5 linked regions of the Neurospora crassa OR74A genome follow. The main gene of each other region encodes a partner of the protein of the gene in region 5 in a complex. Links are inferred from orthologs where the notes say so. Each region holds a gene or a part of one and is shown on either strand. Other genes may lie near its edges. The genes, in order: NCU06993, NCU03114, NCU03479, NCU08353 and NCU07885.

Evidence for each region.
Region 1: NCU07885 (region 5) and NCU06993 share a complex: the UniProt entries of both Saccharomyces cerevisiae proteins name them as parts of the set1C/COMPASS complex. The link is inferred for Neurospora crassa OR74A from reciprocal best matches to the Saccharomyces cerevisiae genes SWD2 and BRE2.
Region 2: NCU07885 (region 5) and NCU03114 share a complex: the UniProt entries of both Saccharomyces cerevisiae proteins name them as parts of the APT complex. The link is inferred for Neurospora crassa OR74A from reciprocal best matches to the Saccharomyces cerevisiae genes SWD2 and SSU72.
Region 3: NCU07885 (region 5) and NCU03479 share a complex: the UniProt entries of both Saccharomyces cerevisiae proteins name them as parts of the cleavage and polyadenylation factor (CPF) complex. The link is inferred for Neurospora crassa OR74A from reciprocal best matches to the Saccharomyces cerevisiae genes SWD2 and YSH1.
Region 4: NCU07885 (region 5) and NCU08353 share a complex: the UniProt entries of both Saccharomyces cerevisiae proteins name them as parts of the cleavage and polyadenylation factor (CPF) complex. The link is inferred for Neurospora crassa OR74A from reciprocal best matches to the Saccharomyces cerevisiae genes SWD2 and YTH1.

What each region holds. Positions count from the first base shown.
Region 1 is NC_026504.1:4,813,750-4,817,836, forward strand, and holds NCU06993 (Ash2-trithorax family protein), read right to left. Parts: upstream 2,817-4,087; 5' UTR 2,446-2,816; coding exon 1,991-2,445; intron 1,914-1,990; coding exon 623-1,913; 3' UTR 60-622; downstream 1-59. Other genes in the region: NCU06994 (pre-mRNA-splicing factor cef-1), read left to right, coding at 3,260-4,087. UniProt on the Saccharomyces cerevisiae protein: Component of the Set1C/COMPASS complex that specifically mono-, di- and trimethylates histone H3 to form H3K4me1/2/3, which subsequently plays a role in telomere length maintenance and transcription elongation regulation.
Region 2 is NC_026501.1:4,604,365-4,608,127, reverse strand, and holds NCU03114 (SSU72), read right to left. Parts: upstream 2,257-3,763; 5' UTR 2,092-2,256; intron 1,859-2,091; 5' UTR 1,799-1,858; coding exon 1,656-1,798; intron 1,595-1,655; coding exon 937-1,594; 3' UTR 506-936; downstream 1-505. UniProt on the Saccharomyces cerevisiae protein: Component of the cleavage and polyadenylation factor (CPF) complex, which plays a key role in polyadenylation-dependent pre-mRNA 3'-end formation and cooperates with cleavage factors including the CFIA complex and NAB4/CFIB.
Region 3 is NC_026502.1:551,089-555,311, reverse strand, and holds the start of NCU03479 (endoribonuclease ysh-1), read right to left. Parts: upstream 2,813-4,223; 5' UTR 2,487-2,812; coding exon 2,337-2,486; intron 2,265-2,336; coding exon 2,167-2,264; intron 1,773-2,166; coding exon 1-1,772. Other genes in the region: NCU03480 (hypothetical protein), read left to right, coding at 3,469-4,223. UniProt on the Saccharomyces cerevisiae protein: Component of the cleavage and polyadenylation factor (CPF) complex, which plays a key role in polyadenylation-dependent pre-mRNA 3'-end formation and cooperates with cleavage factors including the CFIA complex and NAB4/CFIB. Has endonuclease activity.
Region 4 is NC_026501.1:5,654,101-5,657,344, forward strand, and holds NCU08353 (mRNA 3'-end-processing protein yth-1), read right to left. Parts: upstream 2,019-3,244; 5' UTR 1,699-2,018; coding exon 745-1,698; 3' UTR 508-744; downstream 1-507. Other genes in the region: NCU08354 (hypothetical protein), read left to right, coding at 1-307; NCU11325 (alcohol dehydrogenase), read left to right, coding at 2,305-2,337, 2,406-2,541, 2,603-2,914, 2,975-3,244. UniProt on the Saccharomyces cerevisiae protein: RNA-binding component of the cleavage and polyadenylation factor (CPF) complex, which plays a key role in polyadenylation-dependent pre-mRNA 3'-end formation and cooperates with cleavage factors including the CFIA complex and NAB4/CFIB.
Region 5 is NC_026503.1:1,232,526-1,236,314, reverse strand, and holds NCU07885 (WD repeat containing protein 82), read right to left. Parts: upstream 2,475-3,789; 5' UTR 2,348-2,474; coding exon 1,978-2,347; intron 1,915-1,977; coding exon 1,151-1,914; 3' UTR 505-1,150; downstream 1-504. Other genes in the region: NCU07884 (mitochondrial oxaloacetate transporter), read left to right, coding at 3,623-3,639, 3,757-3,789. UniProt on the Saccharomyces cerevisiae protein: The COMPASS (Set1C) complex specifically mono-, di- and trimethylates histone H3 to form H3K4me1/2/3, which subsequently plays a role in telomere length maintenance and transcription elongation regulation. Involved in mediating RNA polymerase II termination.

The sequences.
Region 1 (4,087 bases), on a different chromosome or scaffold from region 5:
GTCCTCTTTGAATGGATTCCGCTACGCTGTCGAGAATGGAATGATAGAATATTATCGATGGGAAACCTTTTGATTTCGGTTGCGAGAATCCGACGATACACCCAGTCGGACTAAGATGTCATTTTACTGCTTATGTGTGTTTGTTGATCCGTCCAGGAATCTCACGAATACCGTTCTCGATGCTCGTTTATGCCCATCGGCCGTCACAAGACCGGCTGACACTCATCCCCAAGTAGTAGAGATTGCAACACCTTTTGGCAATTAACCAGTTCTCTACTATTTCTACCACTTGGGTATTTCTTTCAAAACTCCATCCGAGGCACACCTAACCATATGTAGCCTACCAGCCCTTGATGCATAGCCCTCACCACTCGCTGAAGATTGTAATCAGATATGCAAAAACAAATACAAAGCAAAAACAATTTTGCGAAGCCTCGACATAGTGAAACAGAACCGTGTTACGCTTCTGTCCCCAACCCAACTGAAAGCATTTCCAACCGGAACTGCAAACCTCTCTCGCCTCCATATCCATGAGTGACTGACTCCAGGTACGTCTCGTCTACTTGACAGCACGTGAACACCGCCATCGAAGTCCGTCCCACATGAGTCTGTCCCGGGATACCTAATCGTCCTGGACAAGCTCCTTGATTTCGTCCCGCCCACCAGGCAACAATTGCGCTCCGCCCCCACCCGTCGCCAGCAACTTCTCGGCGTCCTTCGCCGTGAGGTTGAAACGGTCAATCACCTTGCCACCGTCCTGGGCCCAGAAGCCAACTTCATCGATAATGTCGTAGACGATATCTTCGACTATTTGCTCCTCGTAGCGACCCGACACCGGCCGCAGGGGTTCTTGATTCGGCACACTTCCGTCGTCAAGCATGTCCACGTCGTCCTCATCGCCTACCCCGTTCTGCTGCTTCTGGGGAAGACCAGACCCAGGTGGTGGGAACCAGAAGTCTGGGCCAAAGTTCACCTCGACGGCGCCACCGCGGAAAACACTTACGGCTGGGTAGTATCCGACAGTTCCGTCGTCGAGAGCTTCTCTGCCGGCATGTGCCCCTGACTGAGTACTTTGTTTTGATGCGGGTGGTAGGAAGGCGAAGAGGTCAGTCCAAGGCGTGCCCATGTCCTTTCCATTTTTGTAAATCTTGATGTACGAGTTCGGCAGCGTCCGTAGCGACGGCAATGGGTGATTTGGGTTCGGCGGTTCCGGCGAGTTTGAGCTTGCCGATGCTACCGGCGCGGGACTGAACAAGTCTTCCAGCTCCTTGGTTGTGTGGTAGTCAATCTTCTCAAAGTAAATGTGTTGTTTGAACCGAATGGGGATCCGGTCCCGGATGATGTTGGGTGCCTCGAGCGATGGTTCGTCGTCTGCCAAGTCGACCGCAGGGTTATAATGCCCCGTTACAATCTTCCTGTGTAAATGTTCCGAAGGCAGCTGGATCTCCAGCCCGATCACATCTCCTTCTTTGATCTCCTCGCCAGGCGGGAAGAAGTCTTTCGGCCGTGACATGTGCACCTTTTGTCCAGCCACGTCTCGAATACCATAACTGTAGCAATCGAACCCGACGGGGGCGTCGAGAGAAGCCTCACGCCGCGCCCAGCCCACGCGAACGTGCCCATGCGCCTTGGTATCACCTTCGGAACCTGGCTCGCGCAGGGTGCCTCGAGTGACCTTGCACTCCCAATACCACCTGCCCTCTCGCACGGCCACGTTGGCTCGTGACATACGGAAGCCCTTGTCGGTGGTGACATGACGACCCTGTCGGTCAAAGTATACGTGGGAGGCAGAGTCCTCGAAGGCCATGTGGGCAGCGTACGGCTCGGTCTCGGTCTGGCGATAGTAGAACATGGAAGGAAACGTTGGGTCGGCTATACAGTGAGTGTAATGGAACGCTCGCTTGTTGAAGACACTGTAGGAAAAAGGCAAATCAGAATATGCTCCGCATGAATGGAGAATGGCGAAGGAGCAAATATAGATAAGACATACTGTTCGGTTGCATCAAAGAATTCGATGGTCTCGCCCTCGGGCCCTTGAACCTCATGATGGCTGGTGAAGACGGGACCGCGCGCGGGCTCGAAATCAGTAAGTTTGGGCGGAGCGAGCTTATAGCGCGCGGGGAGCAATTCGTTGATCAAGGGCTCTTTGTGTTGCTGCTTCGGGTCTGGAGTTGCTCTAGAACTATCGGAACCGCCTGCTGCTGCCTTGGCCTCCCTCTTCTTGAAGGAGTCCTTCTTTGTTCTCTTTTCGCGGTTTAGAACGGCTGCTTGCTGGGTGTCTTCGGGTGCCTGTATTTGGACTCTTGGAGCGGCCTTGTTATCTGGGTTTAGGGGTGATGGAACTGCTGGACTGTGGTCGTCTTCGAGCGTGCGCTTCTGAGGGATCGTCGTGGCAGCTCCGGAAGGTGTTTGCTCCCTTCGGGGAGAGCCTACGTCGCTGGCCATATGTAGCTCGGCAGACGTCGTGCTAGCAGTAACGTTGACAAATATTTAACTAAGTGATTAGTTTTGCTTTCGCAAGCTGTCCTTGTCCTGAAGTCGACTTGTGTTTGGACTCGAACGGCGAGCACTCCAAGTCCAAAGTAGGTACCGACGGGAGCTCTTCTGATCGACGACAGCTTATGGATGCTAAGAATAATCTGAGAATTGCCCGATGGTGATCCTACGGGTAAATGCTTTGGTACTCGGAGAAGACGCGTACTTTTGGAGAGCGCAATTGGGTTAAAGAGTCCAGTTTCGGAGCGATTTGATGTTCTTTCTGGGGATTTCTGTAAAGAGTTGAGAAATGTAAGAGGAAAGAAAGACATGTGAACCAGAAATGGTGGATGGAAGCTTCATCCACTCGACCAACAGCAGCAGCGTGTCGCGACAAAAGGGCGGGGCATCCTTCTGTTAGTGGTTAACGGCAGGCAGGGGTCCCGGAGCTTGGCTCGCTTGTTAGTTACCACATGCATGGGACACAAAAATGCTAACAGCGCGGGAACCTGTTGCCTGCCGCAAAAAGGTCTTGAGGTTGGCTAGCGCTTGACAGTTGATACTGGGAAAGACGCCAAGGCAGTTGCGTCGCGGGTGATTCCATTGTTCGCCTTGACGCCAGCGCTTTGAATTTCTGGATTTCTTCCCCATCAACACAACAACATTTCAACACTTTCAATTCCAATTCCAAGACAACCCCAACCCCGAGTGTCCTCCCACCTACCGGAACGACTCCCGCATCACTACAACGCCCGACGAGTATCCATAACGGCCGAGCGACAAGATGCCCGTCGTCAAGGGAGGTGTGTGGACCAACATCGAGGATGAAATCCTCAAGGCGTCGGTCAGCAAGTACGGCCTGAACCAGTGGGCCCGCGTCTCGTCGCTGCTGGCCCGCAAGACGCCCAAGCAGTGCAAGGCAAGATGGAACGAATGGCTGGATCCCAGCATCAAGAAGATCGAATGGAGCAAGGAGGAGGATGAGAAGCTGCTGCACCTCGCCAAGCTGATGCCGACCCAATGGCGTACCATTGCCCCCATCGTTGGAAGAACCGCAAACCAGTGCCTGGAAAGATACCAAAGACTTCTCGACGAAGCTGAGCAGAGGGAGGCGTCCGCTCTTGGGCTGACGGGCCCTGATGGAGGCGAAGCTCACGCGCCCAGCGCCGACGATGTTCGCAAACTACGTCCTGGCGAGGTCGACCCCGATCCGGAGACGAAACCCGCCCGTCCCGACACCATCGATCTCGATGAAGATGAGAAAGAAATGTTGAGCGAGGCTCGCGCGCGTCTGGCCAACACACAGGGTAAAAAGGCCAAGCGAAAGGCCCGTGAGCGACAGCAGGAGGAGTCACGCCGACTGGCCGCTCTCCAGAAGCGTCGCGAGTTGAAGACAGCCGGTATCAACATCAAGGTTACGACAAAGAAGCAGGGCCAGATGGACTACAATGCCGATATTCCATTCGAAAAGAAGCCTGTTCCCGGATTCTATGACACCACCGAGGAGATGTCTCGCAACGAGTACCAGCGCGCCCATTTCGACCCCAAGAAGCAGCAGGTTGGGAACAAGCGCAAGGGTGAAGAGGACGAGAGAGACGGCAAGAGGAGAAAG
Region 2 (3,763 bases), on a different chromosome or scaffold from region 5:
TGCCGAAATACAATGCAATTCTTACTTGAGACCGACGATATAGATATTGAGATTTATCCACATGGGTATGTAGGCATACCCGCATCACATCAAATGCCACCTCGACCTCGGGCACTCCCGCCCAACACCCCAACATGATAGGTAGTGACAACATGCATTAGCAGTAACCTTAATGGTCTTCGTCTTCCAAGTGTGTGTCCAATGGCCACCACAGCCCCATGTATTTCATTTTTGACCTTCGCGCGTTTAGTTGCATTGTCACAAGTAGGCCTGCTCACTGCGGGGGCACGGCCGGTTGCCCGGTTGTGCATGTTTCGATATTTTCTAGATGCTGGCAACCGTTGAGTACCCCAGATCCCAATAAGCAAGGAAGATCTCCAAAATTCTGCTATGTTTTCTTTGCATCCAATGTTGCGTATAATGAACCGTGCGGCTCGTCATCTTAAAATGCTTTTTGGGATACCATGCAGGGTACTCGTCAGGTGGGCCGATGAGCTCCCATCTCCGAGCATGTATGCATGCGATATTATTATGTTTGTGATAGAAGTAAGCATATGCGTAACAAACAAAATGCTTAATTGGCGGTCTGGCTGGTGGAAGAGGAAATGGCCTGCCAAATCACGGAGGTCGACATATTCTGAGAAAACCAGGAGGGGTGCGACCTCACAAAATAGCAAGTTGAAGCCAATCATGGCAGCAGCAGAATTCATAAATCCCGGATAACAACGGCTTGTTGATAGAGATTACGAGTCCAAATCAGCATTATGTTGTGACGGCCAAAACGTCTTGTTCGTCTGTGTTGTTTGGTCATCAATCATGAACCCAAAAAGATGTACCCCCCACCCTGTCCGTAACCGCGATTACGCCCGCCAGGCAATAAAAAGAACATCCAACGCCTTACGATGCACGAGCTCAAACAATACGCCAATTCAATGCTTAGAACCAAGCCAAAGTCCATGTCGCAGGAAGATTCGGCCATCTCTCCTGCCACTCGGCCAGGACGTCCGGTACGCGCTCATCGAATCCTGATCTGGCGCCTACGCTTCCCGAGTCAAAGGCAGAAGCGCCAACCTTCTCCCGCTCCTCGGCAGCAATCTTGTTGAGTGAGTCTGCCAAATCGACAATGGCTCGCCCTCCCACGGATGCCTCTTCATGGTTATCCTTGATATCGATGTTGATGACGTGAACAGGCCTGTTAAGTGGCGAGCCACGGTTGAGAAGATCTTCAATCACAGCATCCCAACAGCGTTCCTCACAGGTGATGACAACATCAGCTACGCCGCCCTCCATGCCATCAGCTCCCTTGTCATCCTTGTGCTTGGTTCTAGGCATTCCAATCTGCCAGTCCTGCCATCGCTCAGGGCCCCACTTGACTTGGCGGTTTCTCCCAAGCATGTTTAGCAGTCCATTTGCGCGATATAAGCGAGGGTCTTTGGCTTCCAACTCCCGATATATACTATCGTATGATGTTTCGTTGAACTTGTAGACATTGGGCTGTGTAATGGACGGCCCGGGGAGACGGACAAGAGAGCCTGTACCAAACGAAATCACGGGATAATTTGCAAGAGAGAGTCGCAAGTGACCTTCCATGGAGCTGGTGAGGGTTAGACGGGGTCATCCAGTTGCGTGACGATGCGATGCGTAAAATTGCTCACCGATTCTGGTTACTGGCGCAGACGGTGCAAAACTTTAGCTTGAAGCCGCCAGAGTCTTCACGCCCACCGTTTTGACCATTCTGCTCATTCTGGTCCGGCTTCGATGAGCTCGCGGCACCAGTTGGGGTATCTACAGCAGACATAGCCGGCAGTTGCAGGTAACTTGTTACTGTGGCAGATGTGGCATGCTTGACTGGAAAGACCTAGAAAGCGCAAGATGCCAATGTTAGTTATCAATGCGTTCCCTTCTGCGATACAGACATGGCAAGTGCAAAAGTGTAGGTTGTCCTCGGTACACATCAGATAAAAAAAGCGTATGTAAAAGTTTGTCATCAAACGCCAGACATAGCAGGCTACAGACAGCTCCAATAAAAAGATCATCATAAAGGAAAGAGACGGTTGATAAAGGGAGAGCGGAAAAGAGCGCAGGAATTACCTTTCAAGCTTCAGCTGAGCGCAAAGCGCAGACAGATGATGATTAAGTTAGTCGAGGTAGCCTGCTACCACACATATATAACTTGTTAAATGTCGTTGATGTCCAAACCTGTTCACCAGTTGCTGCTGGCGCGGAGATTTTGGACGGTGAAAAGTGGGATGTGGAATTTGGAACAAATCTGTTTGGTTACCGACTGCGAGGGACAAGTGGTGGTCATACGCACATAGTGCCCCATCTGACCGCTTTCCAAAATTAGAACGTTTCAGTGTTTCAGAGTGAAATGGTGGGTGGCTCGTGCGTCTTGCAGCCCGTTGCCCTTCTTTCCGTTCTCGTCAACTTCCCCCACCTCTCGAGTCTGCAGCGGTCCGCGGATATGCACTGCAGAATCACAGTGAGACGATCCCCAGGTATTTTTTTTTTCTCCCAGGACCCAAACCTCACGGGCCTCGAGCCTCGGTCACCATGCGTATCGATGCACTGTAGAATATCGTGCACAGAACATTGGAACTTACCTTTTCAATAACTTTTCTTAAAAGGTCCCACACAGGGAATGCGCAACTCATAGCTAGTGCCTTGGGAAATTCCATGGGTACCACGTTGCTGTTCGGGACGCATTCACGGAGCCAATCACCCACATCGAAGGCATCGAGAACATCCAATGGTGGACACAAACATGCAGTGATAAACATCCCTGTTGGGACGGGAAGTTGAGAGTTTCGTGCGAAGTTTTTCTTCGTTGGAACATGTTAACCAACAATAGAGGCACACGTAGAAAGTACATTTGCAAATGGCAGTATTACCCGCGTGGTATATCCTGTTTCGATATGTGTTAGAACGTAGAGGTATTTTGGGCGTAAAATCAAATTCAAGTTTTAATCTCCGTGGTTGACACACAGAAACTGCAGTGTGTCCTGCAAGTTGCCCGCCTTTGTCAACGAGAGCTGTCCTCTGAAGTGGACTTTTTGAGCCCCCCATACCTAACCCCGATTCGTTACCCAAAAATTTGCCAGCCATCGTCTAGGTCGACACTAACAGGATAAGCAAAGAGGTTAGGTATGTTGGTCCAAGGCGACCGAGTCCCGTCCTCAGAGGTTCGACTGATTGATTGCAGGTGACCAGCGGTTGCTATTTGCCAATGAGAGGAGCAGGCCTAAACCTGGAGTAAACCTGCGGCAGCGCGCTTAACTTTGTCCAAGTTGTACTAGAGGTATCCCGTCGTAAGTAGAGGTAGTAACTTGATGCGGCACCCCCCCCCCCAAATCTACCTACCTGTTCCTGCCTGAGATTCTGCCTCTTTTTCTTCTCCTCTTTTCTTCGAATCCCCCTCCGTTCCCACCATACCCTGTCTATATTGACAGCTCGCAATCGCTCATCTCAGCTTGCCGACCACACAAGGCCTCTCCATGTCTATACAAGCTCTTTAAGCTGACAATTGCCCACCTTGCTACCCCAGTGTGCCCCTTCGCACACTTTCACCACTATCTTTTCTACATTGCGTCCCTCACACGGGATCCCTTAACGAATTCGGCCTAAAACCGAAACACTCAGAATCCAGAGCCCTTACATTTCCGAGACTTCAGACGACGGACAAGCGAACCGTTGAACAAGCCGTTGGTAGTTGTGGCCGCTTTGCAAGCATCAAACATTTGCAAATCGATGTCCGTGGTCCACA
Region 3 (4,223 bases), on a different chromosome or scaffold from region 5:
CGGCCATCACGGCATCAGCAATGCCGTCGTTGAGCATGTTGCCTTCCCACTCTAGTTCTACCTCGCCGCTGGCACGGTAGCGGACGGTGACGCATCCCATGACCAGGTAAGCGGCTACCACGTCGTCACCGTGGGGCAACTCCTCATCAGCTTCTTCCATCTTGGTATCGCCGTTCTCGCTCTTAACGATCTCCAGCTTTGGCTTCACTTCGGGGAGTTCTTCGACGGCACCAAAGGTTCCTTCGAGACCCCACTTGATGAGGTCAATACCAGCGGCACTCAGCTTCAAACGCTGCTTGCACGCAATAGTGGTGGTCGTCAAGCCAGCATACTCTCTGAGATCCTCCGGAGCCATCAGGGACATTTTGAAGTCGTTTTGCACCAAAACACCAGTGATAAGCTGAGGTTCGGTAGAGGAGGGAAGAGGTCCGTCATGCCCGGTCTTGGCTTCCTTTAAAGAAGGCGGGATGGACGCAAGCTTGCCCACCACCTTGGCGACTTTGTCCGTCTTGAAAGGGATGCGAAGCTCCTCGCAGTTTCTGGGGCTGAACACCTTGACTTTGTGTTCCTTGGTCGCGTTGAGCGAAAGAAGCTTGGACTTGAGACGCATCATGTTGTGCACCTCGCCGTGAACGAGGATGACGACGGGGGCGGCGACTTCCTCGATGAACTCCCTGTTTTCCACGCCGTCAACGTGCGCAGCAAAGGAGAACTCCTGGACGGTGCAGCGACGGGGGATCATGACCTTCTCGGCGTCACCACCGGGGCCGCGGCGGGCACCGGCAATGTTGCGAGACATGACGGCTTGAATCTGCTCTGGCTCTTGAAGGAGCTGCTTGGCCATGGTGCCCTCGACGGAGTAACCGGTGATGATAACGCCGTTCTTCTCGCTCGGCGCCCATCGCTCCAGCAGCTCGCGACTGACGCCATTTTGGAGCATACCAGGGGAGGCAAGCATGACGCAGCCGCCGACGTCCTCGAAGCGGTCAAGGCTCTTGAGGGAGCGGATGAACCTAAAGTCCCATGGTCCTCCCTTGCCGGCACCGTCACCGGAGGACTCGGACTCGGCCAGACGCTCGCGGAACAGCCGCTTGATGTTGTCGTTCATGGAGCCGACATAGGTCTGGTAGACAAGCATACACTTGCGCGCGAGGTTGGAGGCGTAGTAGATGGGGTATTTCTGGTATTCGGCGTGCTTGCCCCAGTACTCGTCGAGGATGAGGAGGAGCTCCTGGGCTCGACCGAGGGCGAAGACGGGCATGAGGACGCGGCCGCCTCTGTTAAGGATGCCGGTGATGGATTTCATGAGGGCCTGTTCACGTTCTGGTCGGGGAATGTGCGAGGCGATACCGTAGGTGGACTCGGTGATGAGGACGTCGATCTTGACACCCTTGGGGACTTTGGCAGAGATAAGATGCCTGTCTTCTTCACGGGAATAGTCGCCAGTGAAGAAGATCTTGAGGCCGGCGATCTCAATCAGAAACATGGCGGCGCCAAGGACGTGGCCGGCTGGGTATGGTGTGATGCGGATGGAGGAGATGGTGTGGGTAGTATTGTAGTCGATGGCCTCGATCATGGGAAAGGTCTTGAGATGGTCCTCCTCGGTGTAGACGAGCGACGATTGCGGGTTCGACGATGTGTTGCCAACACGGACACTGTCCTGGATAAGCCATTTGTAGATAGCCTTGGTGGCATGTGTCATGAAGACACGGCCTCGGAAGTTGGTCTTGGCCAAGACATATGGTAACGAGGCGGCATGGTCGATATGAAAACTAGAGAGTGGGCAGTCAGTCTCGGCTAAGGTCTGGACCAGGTAGGCGACTATGGGCGAGGACAGTGCTTCACAGAGAACATGCAGCGCGAGTGGCAGACAAGATGGGAGGGGGAAAAGGAGAAGAGCGGGCAATGGCGACAAATTCTTTTGTATTTTCATTTCCTGAATACATGTATATGATGGACGGTACAATGCTGCAAAGCGGACAAGAACCGCAGAGACCATAGAGCAACGTGTCAGTCACTGGCGATGGCGTATATCCAGAGCCCAGCTCGATCATCAACCCATCTTGTCCCAAGCCAAACACTGCGGCACTGTCTCTCGCGGATAGACGGGCATACATATAATTGTAGGCCATGGCAAAAAAAGGGGGTGAAGGGGGTTGGGCTTACTGGCTGATCAAGAGGACATCTACTGTGCTGAGATCGAAGTCATCAAAGAATGGAAGGGCAGCTAGGCCATCATATGCTGGATGTTGGCCAGCATCAAGCTACAACAACCCACGGAGAGGTCAGCCCATGTTCGTTGGGAGGAGTGATTGATTTTGGTTGATTTTGCGCACCATAACGGTTTTGCCCTTGTACTGGATGATGTGACATGATCGGCCGACTTCGTTGCCTCCGCCGAGGTTGAGGAACATGAGTTCATCCGCTGGGTCGACCGGCTCCTCTGGCTCCGTCGCCATTGCCGAAGCCTTCCGCTTGGAAGCCATGGCTTAGGTATTCTTTTGGTTCGTTCGCTCCACGCGTAAATCCTTGCTTTCCCACCGTCGCCCTGTATATACTTGGGAACTTTCAAGCTGCTGACTGCGATTGTTTGATTGGCAAAGTGTGGCGGTTTCGATGCGATTTGAAACGCGAATTACGCACGTCAATTGCGAGATGACGTGGCTCAGTCGACGTGAGAAGAAAGACGGAATATCACGGATTAGTACGCGCCGTGAATATGGATGGCGCCCTTGATGTGATTTCGTTGATGGATGTTGAATGCGTTTTGGATGAAGATGGCAAGTGCTCGTTGAATGAAGTGAGGTTGAAGTTGGCGGCTGATTTGCCTGCCGGAAGTCCCTCTTCGGTCCCAAGCCAGCCGCACAACAACCGTCAACGGCCAAATGCCCCACTATTTTCCACCAATCTCACACGTGACTGGCTCACTCACTTCATTGTACGTACCAGACGCGACCCTTGTTGAGGTTCAGTGGAGCTCGTGCCGCCGCTAGCAACAAGCAATTGAACCTGCAGCGGCGGGCAGCAACTGGTCCCGTCGTTCTTCGTGTGCGAGAGTCCCTCTTTTCGATTTTATTGTTCGTCATTCTTTCTCCGACCACCCGACCTCGACCTCCCCTCCTCCAGTGCTTCACCCAACAATCCGATTCATAACCTCCCACCGTCGCCATCACTCCCGCGGATCCAAACGACAATTAATTGTCGACCACGACGATACTCCAACGAGCGAGAAATACATCGACCAACTCGGACACCGATCGATACGAGCGACCGGCGTATGGAAGGAGAGACACGGCGTAGCTAGAGGGGCAGCGCAGGTTCGCCTGCTTCCACTTGGGTTTACGGTGACGGGAACCTGAGCACTTGATCAGTTGGGAGCTCAGCCTCGCCGTCAGCTGGAGGACAAGGAATAGCTGCTTATTATCAACGACGACCTTCATCTGTCCACCCCAAGGGCGCCCCATCACCATGGCGCAACCACCGCAACAGCCTCAGATGCCTCAGTTGCAACAGCAGCAGCCTCAGTTACAACAGCAGCAGCCTCAGTTGCAACAACAACAACAACAACAACAACAACAACCTCAGTTGCAGCAGCAGCAGCAACCACCACAAATGTCGCCGCAGTTGCAACAGTTCCAGCTCCAGCAACAACAGCAACAACGTGCCCAGATGCTCGCTCAACAACAAGCCCAAGCCCTTGCTCAGCAACAGCTGCAGCAACGCGCCCAGCAACCTCAGCAGCATGTCCAGCCTCGCCAAATTCCCCAACAGTTGCAACAACATAGCCAACAGCAGACCCAACCGCCGCCGCCGCAACAACAACAGCAACAGCAGCCGCAGCAACGTGTACAGCAACAGGTCCATCAGCAAGGGCACCAGCAAGCCCCAACTCACCAGCAACACGCTCAACAACAACCACAACACCCCCAACATCCTCAGCAGCAGCAGCAGCATGTCCCGCAGCCGCAACAACAGCAACATCATCCACAACTCCAGCATCCCCAGGCCCAGTTGCAGCAACCTCAGATCCAACACCCTAGCCCGCCAGTCCACCAGCAACCGCAGTTTGCTCGTCCGCAGCACACACCCTCTCCGGCGCCCACCACCCAAGCGCAGTTCTCGATACCGCCGAACCAGCAGCGTCCCCAGACCGGCGCAAGTCCTGCCTCTCAGCCGGGCTCGCCTTACCTTCCCCAGAACTACGCCACTACGCCTCAGTCGGC
Region 4 (3,244 bases), on a different chromosome or scaffold from region 5:
GGAGCTGCATAATGCTGTTTTTGACGTGATTGACGGGTCCATTACCAAGGGCACTGTGCGCGTCGGCCTCGGCGCGAGCGTGTATGGGTTTGTCGGACGCTGGGTGCCGCGCGGGCTGGTGGCGTGGATGATGGGTATCCGGACGGTGGACGAGCTGGCGGCGTGGCAGTCGAGTCATAGCTCGTTTAATAGCCCAAGGTCGGGTGGCTCGGTGAGGTCTATGGGAAGCGAGAATGGGGATGAGGAGGAGGTGGGGACTGGGGCCCGCACATCGAATGAGTTGTTTGTTGCGGTGCCGATGGAGTAAAGTCTTCATGGGAATAGTTTGGAAGAGTACAAAAGAAGGCAGTGTCGACAAGAATGGCATATGCCATAGCATCTCAGACGGTGGGTTGATTATCATTTGGTTACGGGTGTCCTAGGTAGGGAGCGGCGTTCATGTTTTGGGATCTCGTCCCTCTCAGTCTATTTTGGAAGAACATACAGATCACAGCTCCTCAAAACTGTCAAGCTAGCAATTTTTATAAGAATCTCACAAACCCTGTGAATGTAAACCTGACCTACAGCTAATACACTAGATATAACCTTGCCTTTGCGCCGTGACCTATTCCTTATTCCGTGATGCATACCTGGTCTTTACTACCGGATTCCTGGGCCTTCTCATCGTCCGAGCACTAGCCTAAATATGTCGCTATGTTCATGTACCATTTGACCTCCCCTGGCCGCTTTGGGACCAATGTTCTCTTAATGACCTTTACCCCTAAATCCTCCCCTTCCTCTTCCCCTCCATCCTCCTCGGCCTCTGCCTCCTCCTCCTCCTCCTCCTCCGCCTCCAAAGCGATCCTTATGGCGATCATGCCCGCCACCGTCCCTATCGCGTCCCTGCATCATCATCTCCCTCTCCCTGTTATCCCGATCGCGCTCCCTCTCTCGGTCCATATACTCATTCGCGCCCGTCGCCTGCGCCATTCCACCACCCATACCATTAGCATCGCCCATGTGTTGTTGTTGTTGCTGCTGCTGTTGCTGCTGCAGCAGCATCTGATCTCCCTCCCCCTTCGCCCTCGGCTTCTCCATATCCTTATCCGCCGTCCACCTCGGATGCGCGCCCTCCTTGCAGCCCTTCCCATCCGGACAGAAGCCCGCCAGGTAATACAAACACAGCTTCCTCCGGAAATGCTTCTTGTCACATCGCGGTCCCAGCGGACAGAACCCCCTCTCGTAATGCGGGCACGGCGGCAATCTCGACAGCGGATCAATGTGCAGATACAGACACTCGTCCCCGTTGCTGCAGTACCCGTTCCTGACGAAGAAATTGCACTCGGGCATCTTGCGCAGGTTGTACTCGTGCAGGAACTCGCACGATTCGCCCTTTTTGCAGAGGCCGCGCAGCCAATGCTTGCAGACTAGCGAGCCGAAGCCGCCGCTGAAGGTGTTACCGCCGCCATGGGTGTTTTGGGACGACGCGGTAACGTGGCGCTCGGGGCAGTGGGATTTGAGGGGGCAGTTGCCTGAGGCGTAGGCTTTGCAGATGGGTCGGTCGGCGGGGAGAGAGTGCTGGTACGTGCGCTGGAGGAAGGGCGTGAAGGAGAAGGTATAGTGTGGCGCGGTGTGGTTGAGCATCTGAGTGACGAGTTGTTGCGGTCCTCCTGCCCCAGAGGGGAGGGAGTTTGTTGTTGTCTGTGTTGTTGTCGCCATCTCGGCGGATGTGTGAGGGGGGGAAAAAGGTGGTTCGCCGGTGCGATTCGGGCTTCAAGGTGGGTAGGCTTGTTTTGTCGCGAGCGGTTCACGATCGGTTCGGAGAGGTATGTAGCTGGGCGACCAGTCGTAATGAATCTTGCCTAGAGAATGCGCGTGGCTTGTGTTTATGCACGCTTAACCAAGAGTCGTATTCTTTGCTGCGTTTGCCCAGTTTCAAATTCGGCTTTGGTCGGGAGAAGTTCGCACAGCAGGTTGCGCCATTCAAAAAATTGAAGCAAGGTGTGGTTGAGAGTTTGGAGAGAAAGAGTGCAACAAGTCGCAAATCGATTGTTGGAAATCGATAAGACGTGGACTCACCGAGAGATGCAAGGTGAGTGACCAATCAGAGATCAGCTATCCCGGTCTGGGCTACCTCGGCTTCCCTTACACTGGGCTAGCGGTCACCCCCGCGATGGCTATTCGGCATTTGTTCAACCATATTGTACCCTTGTTTAATCATATAGGTTGTCATTCTTTCACTGCTTGTGTATCTCACTCGGTGTTTCTGCGTCTGCTTCTTTCCAGTGTAACAAAGCACTCTATTACTCCAGGTATCCTTCCCAGATGAGAGGCATTCAGGTGGCACAGTATGTTAAGGTATGTCCTATCTCGATCATCCAGGACATCTTCCCATTTCGTGGTTCTAACATTAGCCCTTAACTCAGAGCCCGCAAGAGCTCAGGGTCACGGAGCTTCCAGACCCTACACCTACTTCAGATGAGTACTTGATTGAAGTTCATGCTGCGGCAACCAACTTTTTCGACATTCTTCAGATTCAGGGCAAATACCAGAATCAACCACGTGCGGCTTCTTTATTGAGTCCCGCTTACATTGCATTCAGTATGCTGACGTTGCGTCTTAGCATTCCCCTGGGTATCAGGTGCCGAGTTCGCCGGCGTGGTTCTCGCCACCCCTTCCGGCCTCAAGGACCCCAAGTTCCCCGTCGGTTCACGTGTGTTTGGAGCTAGCCAGGGTGCGTACGCTACCAAAGTCAAAGCCAAGGAGACGGCCCTCCTCCCAGCTCCCGAAGGCTGGTCGCTTGTGGATGCTGCCGGCCTCTTTGTGACGGCACCAACCAGCTATGGAGCCCTTGTTGTTCGGGCCGGCGTCAAGAAGGGCGACTTCGTCCTTGTTCACGCTGCGGCCGGTGGTGTAGGTCTTGCCGCAGTCCAAGGTTAGTGGCATACATACCCGTCTCGAAGATGAACTACTTCGTTGCTAATCCCACACATAGTTGCAAAGGCGTTTGGAGCAACTGTCATTGCTACGGCCGGAACCAAGCACAAGCTCGAAGTCGCCAAGTCCTTTGGCGCTGATCATGTCGTCGACTACACGGACCCCAAGTGGCCCGAGATGGTGAAGAAGTTGACCCCTAAAGGCAAGGGTGTTGACATTGTCTACGATCCTGTCGGCCTGGTAGATCTGAGCACCAAATGTACTGCGTGGAATGGCCGCATCCTGATTGTCGGTTTCGCTGCCGGCAAGATCGAGAAGGTGGCCATGA
Region 5 (3,789 bases):
TAGACGACGACGTGTGATGGGACAGTGGTCGCGTGCCGTGCGACTGGATTGTTCCGTCGAAGTAGTGATCGCTTCGTTTGTACTCTTCGTGCACTGATTAGGATATTCGGTACCCGAATGGTTATTTTGTGATAATTGGTGTCGGCTGGCGGTTTGGGAATGTGGCGCGCAGCGGCGGTTGGTGACTTGGGATAAATGCGAAGGCGTCAAGGCGACGTGATATGTTGGAGGTAAGGATGATGTGGGTTCACCTTGTCGCTTCCCCGGGAAGTTTTGGTGCCACGGTTTCGGTGAGCTCTCTGCTTGCACGCTGAAACGGGTGTTGCATTGGTGGGGTTCACCGCGGTCCCATCCAGCTCAAATGCGGGGCATACCTCTAATGACAGGGGGCAACAGGGGATGTGTTTACTTTAAGCTCCCGTCGTCCAAGGCCTGACATATGGGATTCAGGGTGGTATTGAACTCAACCTTCATCAAGACTACCTGATGGTCAGATTCTTTATGGACAGTAAACAATATTGAGCTTCCTCTATTTGCTAATGCCTATCATCCCCTCAGTGAAAATCAACTTGATCAACCATTACATGCTGTTCATCTTGACCATTCCTTTCCATCTCCTCCTACGAGCCTGGTTAAATCAGCCTTCCAGACCACTTGCCTCGCGACCTGAACCCTTTGAAGCATGCTAACTACTCCCATACGCCGGCGAATAATGCAAAATGGGTATCTCATGTACAGTGCATCAAAATCTTCTTTTGTTCCCGGCGTCTCTCATGTTCTCTTACCACGACGCTCTTCTGCTCTGCCCTGATGTAGCAACAGGATACCATCCAAGACCTTCGTACATCGCGGCATGGGTCCTGTGCAGTTTGAGCCACAACCCCCTTCCTCGTGCGTGCGGCTTTTGGGGAACTCTCCAAGTATCCCGGCGCCACAATGGGGACAACGCCCCCACAACCACGAAGCGATCGGTGTCCAGAAATAATGAAAAGTTATTTTAGAACTCTTGATCATCGACTTCGGCCCAGATAAACGTCGCCAATTCATATTTCTCAAGCGGACGTTTGCGCTGAACCGGCAAAGCCCGGTCCCACATATTCCGTGGGGTTGACCATGGAGGTGAGGTCCAACAGTTTCCGATAGACTCCGTTTATAAATCGGAGACCGGCAGCCAAAACATAAGCTCCTTATCCGCAGTGGCAATCATGTTGAATCTTGGGTTGTACTGCACAAGGACTGGTTCCTTCTTTCCTTCCTGGGGAAGGAAATTCGGTTCCAGAACCTTGTTATTGGGAGTTTGCAATGTGTCCCAAACCAACAGGTCCTTGGCCGCGCCCGACACGACATATCGTCCATCTGGCGTAAAGCAACAGTCTCCACTGCTCTCTAGCGCACCGCTTCCACCATCAGCCTCGCCAGGGGCTGGCCGTCTGGTGCCGCCTTGGGGCTTTCGCAAGTACGCCTTCAGGTTCCCGTCAATGGCGTCAAAGAGGAAGTGTCCTCCGGTCCGTGTTCCTAGAAGAATATGCTTCCCGTCGTTGGAGAACTCGAGTTTCGTCCAGCCTCTGAAGACGGCATCCGCATCAGCTGGCCCCTTCTCTTTCAAAACGTCGATGATCTTGAACGGTTTCACGTAGTTGCGGTAATCGTAAAGGAGAATGCTGGCGCTGGCTGGTAGGGCGATGGCAAAAACGAGACCAGCAGGGTCCCAGGCCGCTAAAGTGGGATTGGTGAGATGGAATTTGGCAACCCAGTTCCTGCTGTTGAGGTCCCAGAGCCTGACTGTGGTGTCAAGACTGCATGAAAGAAAGTTATCGGAGCCGGGATGGAGAGCAATGTTGGTAACGGAGGCCTCGTGGCCTTCGAAATATCGGATAAACGTATTGTCGTGGGTTGCCAGATAGCGGATTGCGTCTGTGGCGATCCAGGTCAGCGAAGAGCAGTCATTGAAGGGAGAAAGGGCGTCCAGTGACATACCGTTTTGCTTCGTGCTCGCATAGATGATGCCCGAGCTGGAATGTGTAAACTTCGCATGCTTGACGCCGTACTTTTTGCTCAGCAAGCTCTTGTCATGCCGACCTTCCCTAACGTTATATATCTGGATGGTCTCGTCGCTTTCAGACGTCATGCAAAGCTCGCCAGGGTCGTCAAAGTCGATCGATAGAACGTATGGCTGGGGCCTACCCTCCTTCACGTCGTCTCTCTGGAAGAACTTTGTCGGCCTAAAATTCTTGATCACCTCACTGATCTTGGAGGTACTGGGCCCATTAGGCCCAAGTAACCGAGTAACGTTCAGGGAGGGTGTTCCCGCGCCGGGTTCGTCGATGTCCATCGGTGTCGATGACATTGCGGTCGATTGATCGTATTGAAACCGGCTAGAACCAGAGAAGATGGCGGGGCAAATATATTGGGTCAAATTGTATAGTATCGGATTGATGGTAGTTATTTGATGTTTGGTTCAAAACTTAGTAGCATCCGTCAACCGCGTTGGTGTTTCTGCCGGGCGGAGAGACAGAGCTTCAGTAATGCGACGTCAAGGTACATACAATGGCTTGGCAGTGGCCCAAGACCCTAACCCTTGTTTCGATCCATGGTCACTGCATGGACAACGACACCAGTTGGGTAAGTAGGTATCGATGTCAGTGACAGCTGGACAAACTCCATCAACGCTGGGATACGTTGGTGATTTGGCCGCAAACCGAGCAGTCAATTGACAACGGTGCTAGTGTATGTTCACGAAGCTAAAATGGCAATCGTTACACACTACGGTAGGATGCTCAATTGAGGTCCCAGTATGACTGTCTTCCAAGCTTTCGGTACCTTCGTCTTTTTCGAAATTGTCATCAAGCTCCGATTCGGACACTTGTTGCCGTCCATCGCGCCTAGGCCCTAACCCTCCCTCGCAGCAACGACAGCGTTCCCCGGCCCAGACATTTCCGGTTCTGATTCAGGGTCCACGTCTGGGCCGCCCGACCCGCCACGCCCCCTTGTCATACCGCAGAAACTCCACATTAATCTGTTGTCCGCGCGCCGAAACCGCAGCACTTACAACTCCTTCGCCTCGTCGCCATTGGGCACCACCCCCATCCACGGCATCGGAGGAGGATCTTGACACCAACTTCCGTGCCTGACCCAAAGCGGGAGTTGGTCCCAGTCGATCACTTCGACCCCCTTGTCTGCCCGGCGACTGACCGGCGAGGCCACCTTGAAGCTCCAATAAATTTCCCGGACAGCTCTCGGTGGTCTTCTCTTTCCTTCCTGTTCCTGGAGAAAGAAGCAGTCGTCGTCGTTCGTTGTGACTTCGTTCAGTTGTACACCTGTACATACACCGATCTGATCTTTCCCCAGATCATCCCCTCATTGCCGTCGTTACTCTCCGTGATACGGTGACATCCACTCCCGCCTTCCCCGGCCTACTCCCGAATTAGTTCCCGTGTTCCCCCCTCTCTCTCTCCGAACACCGGCAAGACTCGGCATTGCGCCTTTCTTTGACTTTGCGCGCCAACTCCGTCGCAATCAACCCAAAGACTCTGGGGACTCGACTTGAGTTCTCCCTGATATTTTCCCCTCCCTCACCCTTCTTCCCCATACATTCTCCCAAAACAGATACCCTAACGTCACTATGTCAACAACAGCAGGGTAAGCTCTCCCTTTCCCCTCCTCACAATGCGCCCAGTGCGCGCGCGCAACCCAACCCAACCCAAACCCCCCCCTCCCGGTCCCAAGCCCAGACTAACATCCCTCCCTCCCTCACAGCGCCTTTATAGCCGGCGGCATCGCAGCCTGCGG